Mytilus edulis: one gene and its partner. The protein of the gene in region 1 interacts with the protein of each later gene in a pairwise test. Links are inferred from orthologs where the notes say so. Each region holds a gene or a part of one and is shown on either strand. Other genes may lie near its edges. The genes, in order: fasciculation and elongation protein zeta-2-like and short coiled-coil protein B-like.

Region 1 (7,595 bases):
GGTGTTACCTAACATGCAAAACACAATAATTCAGAATATGCTTGACCATTGGACAATTTGAAAAATTATGAAGTAGGTGATTCTGATACAGATATTAGCTATTCACTTGTACCAATGTCTGATCCGATATATTTCAGTACCAAAATAACCATTAATTTTAAGACTATTTTTGTTTTGATTATTTGATAGTTATCAAAAGTACCAGGATTATAATTTTATACGCCAGACGCGCGTTTTGTCTACATAAGACTCATCAGTGACGCTCAGATCAAAATAGTTCAAAAAGCCAAATAAATACAAAGTTGAAGAGCATTGAGGACCCAAAATTCCAAAAAGTTGTGCCAAATACGGCTAAGTTAATCTACTCCTGGGGTAAGAAAATCCTTAGTTTTTCAAAAAATTCAAAGTTTTGTAAACAGAAAATTTATAAAAATGACTGTAGTTTTAATAAAAACATCATATTGCATCTGCTTGACTTATATATTGTTTTTAAGTAATGATTTTTACACAATAGTTTAAAACTGCAAAATTATGAAATTATCATGTTTACCTGTACATACTATAACCATGTTTGTGCTGAAATACTAAAACCCACATTTTTGCCCCAAGCTCTCAAGTCAGGAACTTCTAGCCTCTGTTAGTCTTGTGCTTTTTTTTAATTTTGGTTCATTTGTATGTTTTGAACTTCAGTATTGGGTCCATTTCACTGAAACAGTTTATATGTACATTATTGTTTAGTGACTAGCTGAAGCCAATTGAAGACACATTGGTCCCTATTATTTGCTTTCTAGTCTGACAGGTTGATGTCTCTTTGATATACTCCCATTCTAGCATATAACGAGTGTCAATCATAACAAATTTCCAAGATAACACCTGATTATAGAGTTACAAATACATGTAACTGACATGTGAATTTTTTTTCTGGAACTCTGTAAATTCTGTCTTAGAGAGTAATTTTATATGAATACCTTTGCATAAAACCAGGCAAACAAAACTGAAGGTAGACAGTATGTCTTTTACTTTGGATAGCCATGTTTGCATACACCATAAAAAATATGGGAAACTTCAAAATGTATACTAAATACTGACTTGTATATAAACACAATTTACATGTACAGTTAAGAACATTTTAACAAAAAGATACAAACTAAAAAAAAAAATTCACCCTGATTCTTATTTTGTTTTGTTATAGTAGTAAAATATATCATTTAATAGAGCATTTTATATAATAGCCAATGAGACAAGTAGATCCACCAGCTGATTTAAAATGTGATACTGATAGTAGCCAACACAAAATGAATAGTCCACTGTATTGCCTTCAACATTACACAATGAAGTAGTTTACTTTTAAAAATTGTTATTTTATTTATAAAACCACTACAATGTAAAGACAATTGATAATGCAAAAAGTGAGATCAAATGCATCTATTTATAATCATCATTCCAGTTTTCTTATTCTAAATTACAATCAACTGTAACTTAAACAAATTCTAAATTTAAAAAATGTAACAATGAAGCCAATAAAACAAGCAATTAAACTTAATCTATTTCCATGTTGTTGTTTTTTTGTATTTTTTTTAGCAAATTCTAATATTTATACATGTATATTTAATTTCTTATATATTTATCAAATAAATAAAATTAAGTATGGATCTATGGAATATGTCAAAGAGACAACATCCCAACAAAATAGCAGATAACAGAGGAAGGTCACAGATGGATCGTCAACACCATGAGAAAATCCCGCACCCAGAGGAGGCCTTCAACTGGCCCCTGAATAAAAATGTGAACCAGTTCAATGAAAATTAAATACCTGATAAATACAGGCACCATAAGGAATAAAAACCTAAATACCAGAAATGTCAGTATATGTATCTAAAATAAAATAAGATTGCCCATCTACCTAAATCATATTGACAAACAAACCAAATAACATTTTAGAGGGGGTAATCTAGTGTGGGTTTGTGGTCCTTGGGACCCAGACTGGTGTTTAAACTAAAATGGGTACTCTGGGGGCCACTGTTGGTCAAAGCTGCCCTTAACTTTGACCTGAAGATCAATCGACTGATATCTCTTCAGTTCGTCTGTTCCTGCAGTCACTTTGTTCAAGTACTTTGGCCTCCGCCAATAAAAGACTTTCCGATGTCCCATCACTACCTGTGAGTAGGCATTGGGCCAGGATAATTTGTCCTTGTAAATATCGTTGAAAATATGTAAGTGACACATGTATCTCCTCTACACAAATTCCACTGTACCCTTGAGGGTTGCTCAGAATAATGAAGGAATCTATTAGTACATACATAATCTAGTATCATATTCATGATCTGTTTTGACTTTTAAAATTCATAAATCATTATTTTTAGCAGGTTGAAAATGAACAGGTTGCGAACGAACCCTTTACATTTGTATATGGTGATTAGTCTTGTATAGAGGAATAATCCTTCTATAGATGGATAACCATGTAGAGGATTTGTTCCCAACCTCATGAACATCTCATATAAATATTCTAAAATGTCCTATGCATTATTTGGGCTGTTCAGGGCTATTGTCCAACCTGAAGCTGTGTAATCATAACTATTATAGTCCCTATTATATTTTATGACAATGTCAATGTTCCACAGCACCCAAACTGTTGTCTGATGAGGTTGTCTTTTTTTGTTTTGATCATGACACATAAACTCTTGATCTGTTAGTAGCAAATACTTACTGGCAATCTTTAACTACCTCCTCTTGTGTTCTAACTTGAACTGGAGCTATATGATCTACTTTGTCCTCGAAATTGCAGAAACATTTTGTGATTTTTTCATCAAATGTATTCACCAAATCTTCCAATGATTCAGACACCGTTTCCGCGAAGTTTTCAGAATGTTCACTTTCTTCATGAGCAGTTGACATGTCCGTGTTTAAAAGGCTACTTGTTTCACTTACACCTTGAAAATCACTATACTCTGCAAGTTCCTCATTCTCAAATTTTGCAAGTGGAGCCTCGAAATGTAGCTCCGCCATTTTCATTCCCCGCATCCTGACATCTCTGACCTTCACCTTTTAGATAATTTTTTTATTTAGACTGAAGTGTTCATTTCATTAGAAGAAAGACAACTCAACACAGGCACTTGTCTGAAAAAATCATGTGCACGGTACTATTTGGATCTCTTAAGCTATAAAGGAAAATTATTTTCGAGAGAAAGGTGCCTGTGCTGAAGCTGAAATGTAAAATAAATTTTCACAATTTATTAATAGACACGGCCATAGAAAGACAAAACAAGTGGCTCCTTTCACAAATATTTTATCTTGATTTTGTCTACAATATAAACAGAGACATAAAGGTCTCTGATATAATGTAATACAAATATTTCCTCAGTAATCATAAGATGTGCAAAGAATGTTTTGACGTTTATATTTTGCCAACATCACTTGGTCAATCGACACAAAAAGGGGTCTCGTCAAATAAAAATCATATGTTTCAAAACATTGACTGGCTTATCTAATTTTCAGATTCTCGAATTCCAATTATAATAATGTGGGAGGGATTGTTTATTTTATCACCAATTCATTCACTATTAACCATGCAGACTATATCTTGACGACCAGTTTTCGTGGCAGACCATCTTAGCAGTTGGGGTCATATTGTTAAACCCTCGTGTCATATTATGCAATGAACAGACTAGTTTCCTAAACTCCTTCTCATATTGAGCTGATATATAGTTTGAGAGTCTACGGTGAGTGCCAAATATTTTTTGTAGATTATTGGAGAGTCGTTTTATCGGCTATCAAACCACATCTTATTTTAATTGTATACAAACATTATAAATTAATTACTATCCAAACTTATCTGTGTCCACACTATATTGAGAAAAAAAAACTTTAACCCAAAATGTTAAACAAAAGTTAACTGCTAAAAGATTTGATCTATTTTTCAGAAAATAGAAGAGAAAAAATTCATTCAAATTTTAGGCTGGACATGATACAATATCTTTTGACAACGAAAGTCTTTCAAGACAGTCCAATTTTCTTTCCATAAAGGCTTGAAAAAAAGAAGTGTCTTGAAAAAAATTAACCATTTCATGCAACTTACTGTTATTAAACTGTGAAAAAGCTGAGTCAATTTAACAGTAAAATAGGGAAAAAATTAACAACCAAGTGCTCCGCAGGGCGCAGCTTTATACGACCGCAGAGGTCGAACCCTGAACAGTTGGGGCAAGTATGGACAAAACATTCAAGCGTGATACAGCTCTGAATTTGGATTGTGATCAAATTTTTGACATAACATGGTTTTTTTTTTACACAAAACAAATGTCAAGATTTTACAAATCAATTAAAGATTTCTTCTTCAAACTTTTTAAATCTAAAATTAAATAGTTGACACAGCATAGGTTTCTGACACAGAATGAATGTGGTCTAATGAACTAACTAATTTTTTTTGCCTATGAGCAATTCACTATGCTGTTGAATATTAATCCTCTCAAAAAATGTTTGAAGAAATTTTCTTTTTATTTATGAAATCTGAAATGAGAAAAATTTAACCCCCCCCCCCCTTTTTTTCACATCACCGTTTTCCTTTTTCCAAAACTGATATCAATTCAAATTTCTAATGGAGTTTGCAACAATAACTACTCTTTTAAATACATCATAAAATATTAAAATGTAAAATAAAGTGCTTGTTATCACTGAATGGTAAAGATTGGTTGGTAGTAAAAGTGAATATACATTGTTTATTGTATAAAACAATAAAAAAAACTTCATCAGCAACATTTTATATTGGCAAATTTCCAATGAAGTTATTTACATAAAGTTATTGGCAAATAAAAATAGAAAATGACATCATAGTCATGTCTGGCAAATGTCCAACATACATTATCTAAAAACATTTTAGATAAGATAAGGAAAAAAAGCTTCATCAGCAACATTTTATATTGGCAAATTTCCAATGAAGTTATTTACATAAAGTTATTGGCAAATAAAAATAGAAAATGACATCATAGTCATGTCTGGCAAATTTCCAACATATATTATCAACTACTATTCTATACAAAGAAAGATAACTCCAATTGAAAATTAATTGCTATTGCACAATATTGTGCAATTAAATTTCTTGCTATTGTGCAATACTGTGCAATTGAAAATTTCTTGCTATTGCACAATACTTGATATGGAATCCTGATTTGGACCAACTTGAAAATTGGGCCCATAATCAAAAATCAAAGTACATATTTAGATAAAGCATATCAAATAAGCCCAAGAATTTAATTTTTGTTAAAATCAAACTTAGTTTAATTTTGGACCCTTTGGACCTTAATGTAGACAAATTTGAACACTGGACCAAAATTAAGAATCTACATACAGTTAGATTTGGCATATCAAAGAACCCATTTATTCAATTTTTGATGAAATCAAACAAAGTTTAATTTTGGACCCCCATTTGGACCAACTTGAAAACTAGGCCAATATTAAATTAAAAATCTAAGTACATTTTTAAATTCAGCATATCAAAGAACCCCAAGGATTCAATTTTTGTTAAAATCAAACTAAGTTTAATTTTGGACCCTTTGGACCTTAATGTAGACCAATTAGAAAACTGGACCAAAAATTAAGAATCTACATACATAGTTAGATTCGGCATATCAAAGAACCCCAATTATTCAATTTTTGATGAAATCACACAAAGTTCAATTTTGGACCCTTTGGGCTCCTTATTCCTAACCTGTTAGGACCAAAACTCCAAAAATCATACCCAACCTTCCTTTTATGGTCATAAACCTTGTGTTTAAATTTCATTGATTTCTATTTACTAATACTAAAGTTATTGTGCGAAAACCAAGAATAATGCTTATTTGGGCCCTTTTTTGGCCCTTTTAAATTCCTAAACTGTTGGAACCAAAACTCCCAAAATCAATCCTAACCTTCCTTTTGTGGTCATAAACCTTGTGTCAAAATTTCATAGATTTCTATTCACTTAAACTAAAGTTATAGTGTGAAAACCAAGAAAATGCTTATTTGGGCCCTTTTTGGCCCCTAATTCCTAAAATGTTGGGACCAAAACTCCCAAAATCAATCCCAACCTTCCTTTTGTGGTCATAAACCTTGTGTTAAAATTTCATTGATTTCTATTCACTTTTACTAAAGTTAGAGTGCGAAAACTAAAAGTATTCGGACGACAACGCAGACGCCAACGTGATAGCAATATACGACCAAAAAATTAAAATTTTTGCGGTCGTATAAAAATGATTTTCAAAATTTACCCCGGACAGTGTCTTTTGAGCATTCAAAAAGTCTTATGATCAAGGTTTGACAGAGATATTGATGTCATTTATAAAGTTTTACTTGGACACATACAAAGACAGACTGTAGGAAGTCCTATGTCTGCCAAGTCTTGTCTCTGAAAAATAGTGACCATGTTGCTTTAACATGATATAGTTTGAGCCATTTAATCTTAATTGGAGTGTTGACTTGCAAATGATAAGACAAGTGCATACCAAATATTAACATTAACTTGGTTAATATTCATATCATAAACTTTGCAACATTCTGTCAATACCATAATAGACAGGTGGAGCAACATAAACTCAATGGAAATGAGATGTGACAATGCCAATTCATCTGCATAACAAGAGTATAATTGAGTGGTTCTCTTTAAACTGACCTAATCATTAACTAATTTTGTTTCATCGACAATGGAAATAGCATGTCTTAAGTTTTGCTTTTTTGAGTTTGAGACTGCTTATAAATGATAACGCTTTGATATTTGATAACCATAGAATTGTTGTTTCAATAAAATAATGAAAATTCTACACCCATGCTAAATATTTGTTCAAATTATATCAGTATAAAGCAATCTGGCACTCTCATGAGAAGAAACATGTAATGTACTGTGTGCGATTGCACCCAGAATGTTGTTTTCAATGTAATTAACGGTTCAAACCAATGTAACATGATTAATTTATGTTTTAACTGGTTTTTAACTAGCTCACTATTTAACAAATTTTGTCATTATTAAGATCATTCAAGTTGTGCCTTTACACACCACTGTCCCATGTGAGTGAACAATAGAGATTTGCAAATATGGAATTTGCTTATTGTTGAAGGGTTTTCAGTGACCTATAGCAGTTAATTTCTGTGTCATTTGGTCTCTTGTGTCGAGTTGTCTTATTGGCAATATCATATATTTATATATTAATCTAGTTGCATTTTGAATGCATCTGTCCCTAGTCAGGAGCATGTAATTAAGTTGTGGTCCTTGGTCGTTTATTTTGTTGAAACTTTTTTTTTAGTTTGAAAAGTTTAACATTTTGTCATGTGAGTTTTTCAATTATATTGTATGAGTATTATTCATTTTTGAATGCCATACAGTGACATTTTAATGCTATGTCTATATGTTTTATTCTCTGGTGGTTGACTCGTTGGTTATCATTCTTATTTTATATAAACTTTGACTTGTCTCAGCAACCACAGAGTAACAGGATCCACAGGTCGGGTAAAATTCAGTATTCTTTGATTTTATCAGTTTGAATGGGTTTCCCTTTTTTTAAAATAGCCTTGGAATTTGTTTTTTTCAATACTTTTTTTTCTGTCAATATATCAGAAATTAAGCCTTGGAA
Region 2 (8,175 bases), on another chromosome or scaffold:
TATTTTATTAATTATTTTTTTTAGCAATATCTTGCAAAACAACTCTCATTAAAAGTGCACTACTATTTTCTACATGCAATTTAATTTGCAAGCTGGTATAAGTAAGTAAGTAAATTATTTATTATAGTGACATGTGTAAATTATGTACAGATTATAAAGAAAATAATAGAGTTTTACTGTTTATCATATTTCATGAAATGTTGTCATTTTAGCATCGCATAAGTGTAAGGTTTGGCTAGCCATTAAACCAGGTTCAACCCACTATTTTTCTTAAAATGTCCTGTACCAAGTCTGGAAGATGAAGGTTGTTATCAAATAGTCTGTTTCTATGTAATGTTGCCGTTTTTTTTTTTTAGAAGTTTGGTGTTTCTGTTGTTCTGTTTTTTTCTTCTTCTAATTGTTGATGTGTTTCCCTCAGTTTTTGTTTGTGACTCCATTTTGTTTCAGTTAAATTGATTTATAAATAATCAACAGTGGTATACTACTATTGCCTTTATTAAAATATTTTCTGATTCTATTGATAAAAGAGAATGTGAAGAATTCTTCTGAGACAGCAACCAAACAACACAGAATTCTGCCTATCAATCTGCACAAGTTTGCTATAATGGTTTAAAACCTTTTTATTTGGTAATAATTATTTCATTTTTTTTCAAAGCTGTTGTGCATATGCTCATCAAAGTTTCAACAAGATTGTGTCCATATAACATAGATGCCAAACACCCGCTATCATTTTCTATGTTCAATATCAATAGACCGTTAAATTGGGGTTAAAATTCTGATTTGGCATAAAATTAGAAATATCATATCACAGGGAACATGTGTTCTAAGTTTCAATTTGATAAGACTTCAACTTCATCAAACACTAACTCTAACAAATTGTCTAACCTGAAGCCAAACAGACAGATGTCAGACTGAATATCAAATGCACAGACCTAAAGTGGGGCATAAAATATTTTTTTACAGAAACATGGGCTAGTGCCTCCTGCAGGAACTTGTATCATAACATGTTGACATTAATGTTGTACTCTGATACACACCTGTGTCACTGTCACTTGACAATGGGACACTGTATAAATCTTCTTTCATGCCTTCCCCAGACATGATTAAAGTCTTGACAAATTCTACCACTAAAATAGTCAGTTGAGTATCCTGTAAATACACACAGAATTAATTTGTTAAGGTTGTACCTAACACTACAGGGAGATAACTCTGTAAAATCAGCTAAAGGTTTTAATTACGTTGTGTTGTAAAGGGAATATTAAGCTTCTCAACGATCAAAATAAATGTTTGTCAAACTGCTATATAACCAGTGTAATTTTTCTGACAAAACAGTTGGTTTGAAATTTTTATGTTTTTGTTGAAGGGTCAAAGTTAATACATTGTCAAAGTTTAATGAAAATTAAACGAGCCAAATTAATTTTAGGTACCACCTTAACACATTGAAATGTCGCAAAATGACATGTCAATAACTCTAGTCTACAATTAAAAAATGCTAGTGTTTAAATTTGTTCTCCTTGAAAATATGATGGGTCCATGAAATAAAGAGATGGGCAACTCTATTTTATGACCATACTTAAACTTTCTATTGAAATATAATATGACACCCTCCTCATTTTTCAAATCATTTGTTACATGTATATTTTGTACTAAAATATCTATTGTATTGCTTGACATGTTAAGTTTCAATTCATACCCAACCTTCTTCTATGAAATACATGTATTAAGGGCCACGATATCACAAGATTTGCTTATTTGTCAATCATGTGTATGATAAGTCTCTCACTTAAGGTGATACCTAACACTACAGGGAGATAACTTCGTAAAATCAGCTAAACGTTTTAATAACATTGTGTTGTTAAGGGAATATCTTCTCAATGATCAAAATAAGTGTTTGTCAAACTGCTATATAACCACTGTAATTTTTCTGATTAAATGGTTGGTTCAAATTTTTTGAATTTTTTATATTTTGGTCAAAGGGTCAAAGTAAATGCTTTGTCAAAATTTTATGAAAATTAAACGAGCCAAATTAGTTTTAGTTAAAAGTGTTGGGTACCACCTTAATACATCTTAATTTAAAGAACATGAAGCCATTTTATAGTTTTATGTTACCTTAGGAGTTTCAATGTTATTCGGAATGTTATAAATTAAGATCATGGTCAACAAAATAACATAAAAAACTTTTGTATGAATCATACTGTTAATTTTATTTGTTTGCAGGCACACAATGATTTAGGCTGTTCACACTTCTTTGGTCCGTTCGCCCTGATTCTAGCCCGTTCCTGTTTGCCCTAACTCCTGTTCGTCCTGAGTCCATACACGGTGATCTTGGGTTATATTGCATTGTGTGTATACATTTGAATATGTTTAAAACGTGTGTCTACAATTTCACCAAATATTTATTTATGATGTATTATGTTGTCTATCTTCTACCAGGAAATAAGTTTCTGTGAATTCCAGGACTACAAGATATTTAATATAAAAAAAAAAGACTAAGTTATCTGTATTTATTCATTTTTATTGATGCATTTTAACAATATAAAAACATTCATGCCTGTCCAAAGTTAGGAGCCTGTAATTCAGTGGTCGTTTAATTTGTTTATGTGTTACATTTCTGTTTTTTCAATCATTATTTGTACATAAATTAGTTATCTCAATTGAACTAACCTAGGGCGAACATGTAATCAGGGCAAGTTAACCTGATACCGGTTGGATCTACCAAATTACCAAGTGCTTGTCCCATGAATACATAATTTAAAAAATATTGTATGTGCTAAACATATGTCATATAGTAACAATTGTCTACTGTATATAATAAAACAGGTTAATGATGTGATAAATTATATAACTGATTAAGCAAATTTCAAAATGCAAATGTATATATGTCGTGAGTGTTCACTCAGTGCATCAATAACTGTTAGTGGGATGCTGAATAAATAATGTGATTTCTGAATCACATTATTCGTCAGGAAAATCGTTCTTCTAAATATAATATAATGCAGACACAAAAGGCTAAGTACAAAATATGTCTCCTGCATCTAATTGATAGTTAATTTCAGTGATACCTTAAGAAATTATATCAAATAAGTGAAATAACTGTTTGTTGATATTTCCAAAATCTACTTCCGTTTCTCCATTTTTTCAATAGTCACATGACAGTGACGTCACACAACAGGTACTCGTTCACACACGAATTCATTCAACCTGTCAACAGAAGAAAAAGTGCATGAAAAACAATATCTAAAACTTTTTAAAACATGTTGAATAACAAATTTGGATATTTTCTTCAAAAGTCGAAGTATAACAAATTGACATTTATTTAAAATGCAAAAATAAAGCATTGATGGAATAAACTTCGGAACAGGTGAGAGAAAAATAATCAATTTTTTAAAGAAACTTTCTAAAGTTGTGTATTTAAGTCATATTTGGTGTATGTTTCATGTCGTTATTTAATTAATAGACGTAATTATTACAATCATTAGGTATTTAATGAATTTACAGGTATATTCTGACACAGATTACCTGAAACATGTGCTTTTTATGGCCAGGTGAATTATTTCTGACAGTAGTTTATAATAATATATCTTCGCGCTGCCTTAGGCAAGATTCTCTCCTAACAACACCGATGTGTTAATTAACAATTTAATGGGCCATTGGTTGGTAATACTCAAAATAATAATACACATTACAGCTGATTTAGAGAGGGGACAGTTTTAATTGTTACCTAAATAAGTTGATTGGATTGGACGGTGTTAGATGTTTTCATAAGCCAAGAAAAATTGAAGCAGGCTTACTGAGTAACCATACTGGAAAAAAAAAGGTTAATAGATAAGAACATAAGTGGATATAGTACATGTTTTGGGATATCCTATTCAAACAAGGTAATTTGAGGTTAACTTTCTTGGAACAGGTACACTTTAACTTATTTTTTTAACTATACTCTTATATCCAGTTATCCATCAGATTTTTTATGATTTCTTGATGCTATCTTAGTTTGCAGAAATTATTATTATATAGTTATAAATGACTCTCTTATTGTACATGTGTTGCTACTATGTCATGTACTAAAAATGTAAGTGTATGATAAAGTTCTTAATATTGCACTTTGTGATTTTAAATAATTACAAATGTACATTTGTACCTTAAATAACCTGAATAGTCATGATGGATATTATTTTTTTATCATAATAATGAATGTAAAATACATATATATACAAACCATGCAAACAGAATTAAGATATATTTAGTGTCAAATAGTATACCTGAGACTACTATAATTAACACATGTGTTATAGTAGTCTCAGAGTATACCAAGGAGACAGCAACACCTTTGAAGTTTACATAAAAGTTTACTTGTAATTAAGACATTAATTAGGCTGGCCAATGATTTGTATAGCAATTGAGACGTACAATGCAAATCCTCCCCTTAGGCAGACCTGGATAAAATGAAATGAATGAATAGGAGATTTTAGAATGTCTTGGGAAATAATCTACATGTAATATTTATAACATCTGGTTTTTTGGGTCATTTTATATGTATATTATTCGAAAGGCTATATTTATTTTAATACACTGATTTTCATTTTGCAAACTTTTCAAAATCAGATTCTTTTCTATATTGTAGGAATTTTCTTTTTGGATTTTAAGTTGTAGCTGTATCTTTATGTAAGGCTTTGGAATATAGAGTATGTCATCTGTATGTCAAGGCTAACATATGATTGACAAAGTAAACTCCGACTATGCCATCACTATGTCGTGTTGTGATAATATACTGCAAAGGATTAACAATGAACTACCTGACGAGTGGGAGGCAAAGTTGGTGGCAGAGCAGGGACGCATTTATTATCTAAGGTAGGTGTTGGGCAGGTGATGTCCTAGAAAGACTTCCATTTGCCGCCCCCCCCCCCCCCCCCCCCCTCCCCCCTTTTCCCCTCTGGTTGATAGATTAAGCAAAATGCACATGTAAGGGGTTTCAATGGAAGTTTGCCAATGTCTTACTCACTAGGGTTGTGCCAATAGATTTTGTTACGGCATATAAACAGTAGCAGTTCTGCACTGGTATATTAGATGAAGCTACGCAATATACATGTAGCAATACATGTATGACTAGGTTATACAATTGTTTCAAACAGTATGAGTTGCATACCGTATCTGAATTTTTTAAAAATGGTAAATATAAAGATAAGGAGATGTGGAGTGATTGCTAAAGAGACAACTTTCCAATAGAAAACAAAAGACAAAGATGTTGACAACCATAAGTCACTGTCCAAACTTGTTATGTATAAAAACACACTGTAATGTATATAGAAAGCTTTAAAAGAGCCTGGCATGTCATGAGGACCACCATGACCACATTAGCAACAATTTTATAGAGAAATCCAACATTAATCCTTTTATAGTGGACTATGTGGTACAGGGATGGGGTAATCGTAATCTGTAATCGTAATCAATTGTAATTGATTACATACTAAAATTTGAGTAATCGATTATTCGATTGCACAAAAATCCTTCATGTAATCGATTATTCATGTAATCGATTATTAATCGATTACATTTGTCAGTAATCGTGCCCATCCCTGATGTGGTATGAGTTTTGCACATTGTTGAAGGCCATACTGTATCCTATAGTTGTTAACTTCTATTTCTTTGGTCTCTGGTAGACAAATGGTAGAAATATGTCTCATCATGCTCATTGGCAATCATACCACATCTCGTTATTTTTTATATAAATGTATATTATAAGTTTTTTGGTACATGTAAATGCAATTACAACACATGTAATCTAACTCCGTTAAAACGAAGGTGCAGGACCTAGGAATATTTGTGAACAATTTTTTGTTTTACTTCTCAGAATTGCTCTTTGATATTCTCAGTCATCCTTATGGCCTTCACTCAATCTTCAACAAAGACTTGTCAGGTTGAATTACTATTTTATCTTAAGATAAAAAGATTTTAAATGATATTGTTACAAAATTGCACTAGTCTTAGTCCAATGTGCACTTAAAATATTTTAGATGATGGCATTATAGTTTGTGGTTTCTATCTTTTTTAATCTCCCTAGGTATGGTTCATTCAGAAAATAAAATGTCAAAGAAAAGGAATGATGATTCAAATCTCGACAATGTTTAAAACTCCATCTTTTAATCTACAATGTTATGTTCCACTCGAAAATAAAAAGAAAAGAAAAAGATTAATCTGCTTGAAATCTTGTCAGTATTAAAAGGTTGTCTACGAATCTCTCCATTTACAAAGTCTCTGAGTCTGTTCCACTCCAAAAATAAAAAGAAAAGAAAAAGAATCTGCTTGAAATCTTGTCCGCATTAAAAGGTTTTCTACAAATCTCGCCATTTACCAAGTTTCTGAGTCTGTTCCACTCCAGAAATTAAAAGAAAGAAAAAGAATCTGTTTGAATTATCATCAGTATTAAAAACTTTGTCTTTTAATCTCCCTATTTTCAATGTCTGTTCCACTCCAAAAATAAAAGAAAAGAATTAAGGAATCTGTTTCAAATCTCAAAAGAATTTAAAAGTTGTGCTTGGTGTACTATACAATTCTATGTCTTAGAAATCAATAGTATAACATGGGAAAAGTTTATCTACATTTAAACACAGCTTTCCTCTTTCTTTCATGACACTAACACATTGAGAGAACAAATAACAAAAATTTCTAGATTAAACAGATAAAAACTTCATAAAAGGGGAAAAACATCTTTGATGAAGCGGACATCTATTGATTTGCAAATCATTTTCACTGAAAAATCCATTTATTAACGACATAATCAGATTATTGAAACCCTCTTTTATAATAGTATTGCAAGAATAAACAATACTGTTACGAACGGTCATTGGTTTCTGTTTGAATGACACAATTGTCCGATTCTCTTTGATTAGAGATTATATTTACGAAGACAATACTTAGAATCTTGTCCATTCATGTAACTTCATTTCCGATTCCAGAGTTGACAATTGATGGTGGTCTTTGATACAATTTTTATCGCCTAATGAAGTTGTTTAGGAACGAACTTGTCAATAACTTAATTCTGATTAAATTATAGATAAGTTTACAGAAAGATTGATCGAAACTGACATGACAAACGTCCATTTAATCGATTTTCATTGTTGATATATACTGACCATGTCATATGAAATTTACATTTAACATGGGTTTTTTTAGTTATTTATTCAATTGACACATATGGACTTACAGTGACCTATAGTCATGATAGTTGTTAATTTCTGTGTCATTTGGTCTCTTGTGGACAGTTGCTTCATTGGAAATCATACCACATCTTCTTTTTTATAATTTTTAAATAAAATCCTAATTCCAATTACATGAATTACATTATCTACTCATCATGCTCATTGTTAAAAGCCATTAGAATTTTTTTTTACAATTCTGACAAAACTTGAAAAATTTATTCATAATCAAAAGACAGTATAGTTTATAAGAAAATTATCGATAGATCATTTGATCACACTTAGCTGGATTTATGAAATTATGTAATAAATAATTGATTTTAAATTCAAAATATCCTGTAGGTCAAATGAATCAAACTTGAAACTTAAACATTCTTAAAATTATTCAAAAATTGTATGTTGCTATCAACATGATACATTTGGTTTATGTAACTTTTGATGAGTTTTATTTGATTGTAACTTATCTTCAATTTTTTTTTTAAAAGATAAACTGTTATACATTTCAGTTTTAGCATTAATGATGCTAAATACCAAGTTTTGGAGATAAGAGACTCATTCAAAAATACTGCTGTAGTTGCTTGCTTAAATTAAAGGTTGAGATTTTATTTTAATGAACATATTTGAATATATTTGCTAAAATAAGAGTTAAAAGGAGAGGCTAACAATACAAGAAGACAAAGACAGAATTTTAGTTAAATTGAAAAAAAACCTGACATGGATCTTAATTGATATAGAAACTATTAATTGATTGATTGATTGATTTATTTTTGATTGTTGAGATCTTGATATCCAGTGGCAAATATTTTATTAAAAAAAGGCAATATGATGCGATAACAATTTATTGAAAAAGAGTCTATATATAATAAAAGATGTTGCCAATGTTTTACATGTTAAGATGACTGTCCAAATACTCTATTTTGTATCCAAGTGATTTTAAAGTATCTACATTTGCTTATGAGTCATACTAGAGTGCAGTCTGCTA

What was found.
Region 2: the proteins of fasciculation and elongation protein zeta-2-like (region 1) and short coiled-coil protein B-like interact in a two-hybrid assay, tested with the Caenorhabditis elegans proteins (2 studies listed by BioGRID). The link is inferred for Mytilus edulis from reciprocal best matches to the Caenorhabditis elegans genes unc-76 and unc-69.

What each region holds. Positions count from the first base shown.
Region 1 is NC_092346.1:56,389,970-56,397,564, reverse strand, and holds the start of fasciculation and elongation protein zeta-2-like, read right to left. Parts: upstream 3,245-7,595; 5' UTR 3,022-3,244; coding exon 2,708-3,021; intron 1-2,707.
Region 2 is NC_092351.1:56,891,630-56,899,804, reverse strand, and holds the start of short coiled-coil protein B-like, read right to left. Parts: upstream 3,178-8,175; 5' UTR 3,063-3,177; intron 1,150-3,062; 5' UTR 1,102-1,149; coding exon 1,038-1,101; intron 1-1,037. Other genes in the region: uro-adherence factor A-like, read left to right, coding at 4,712-4,848.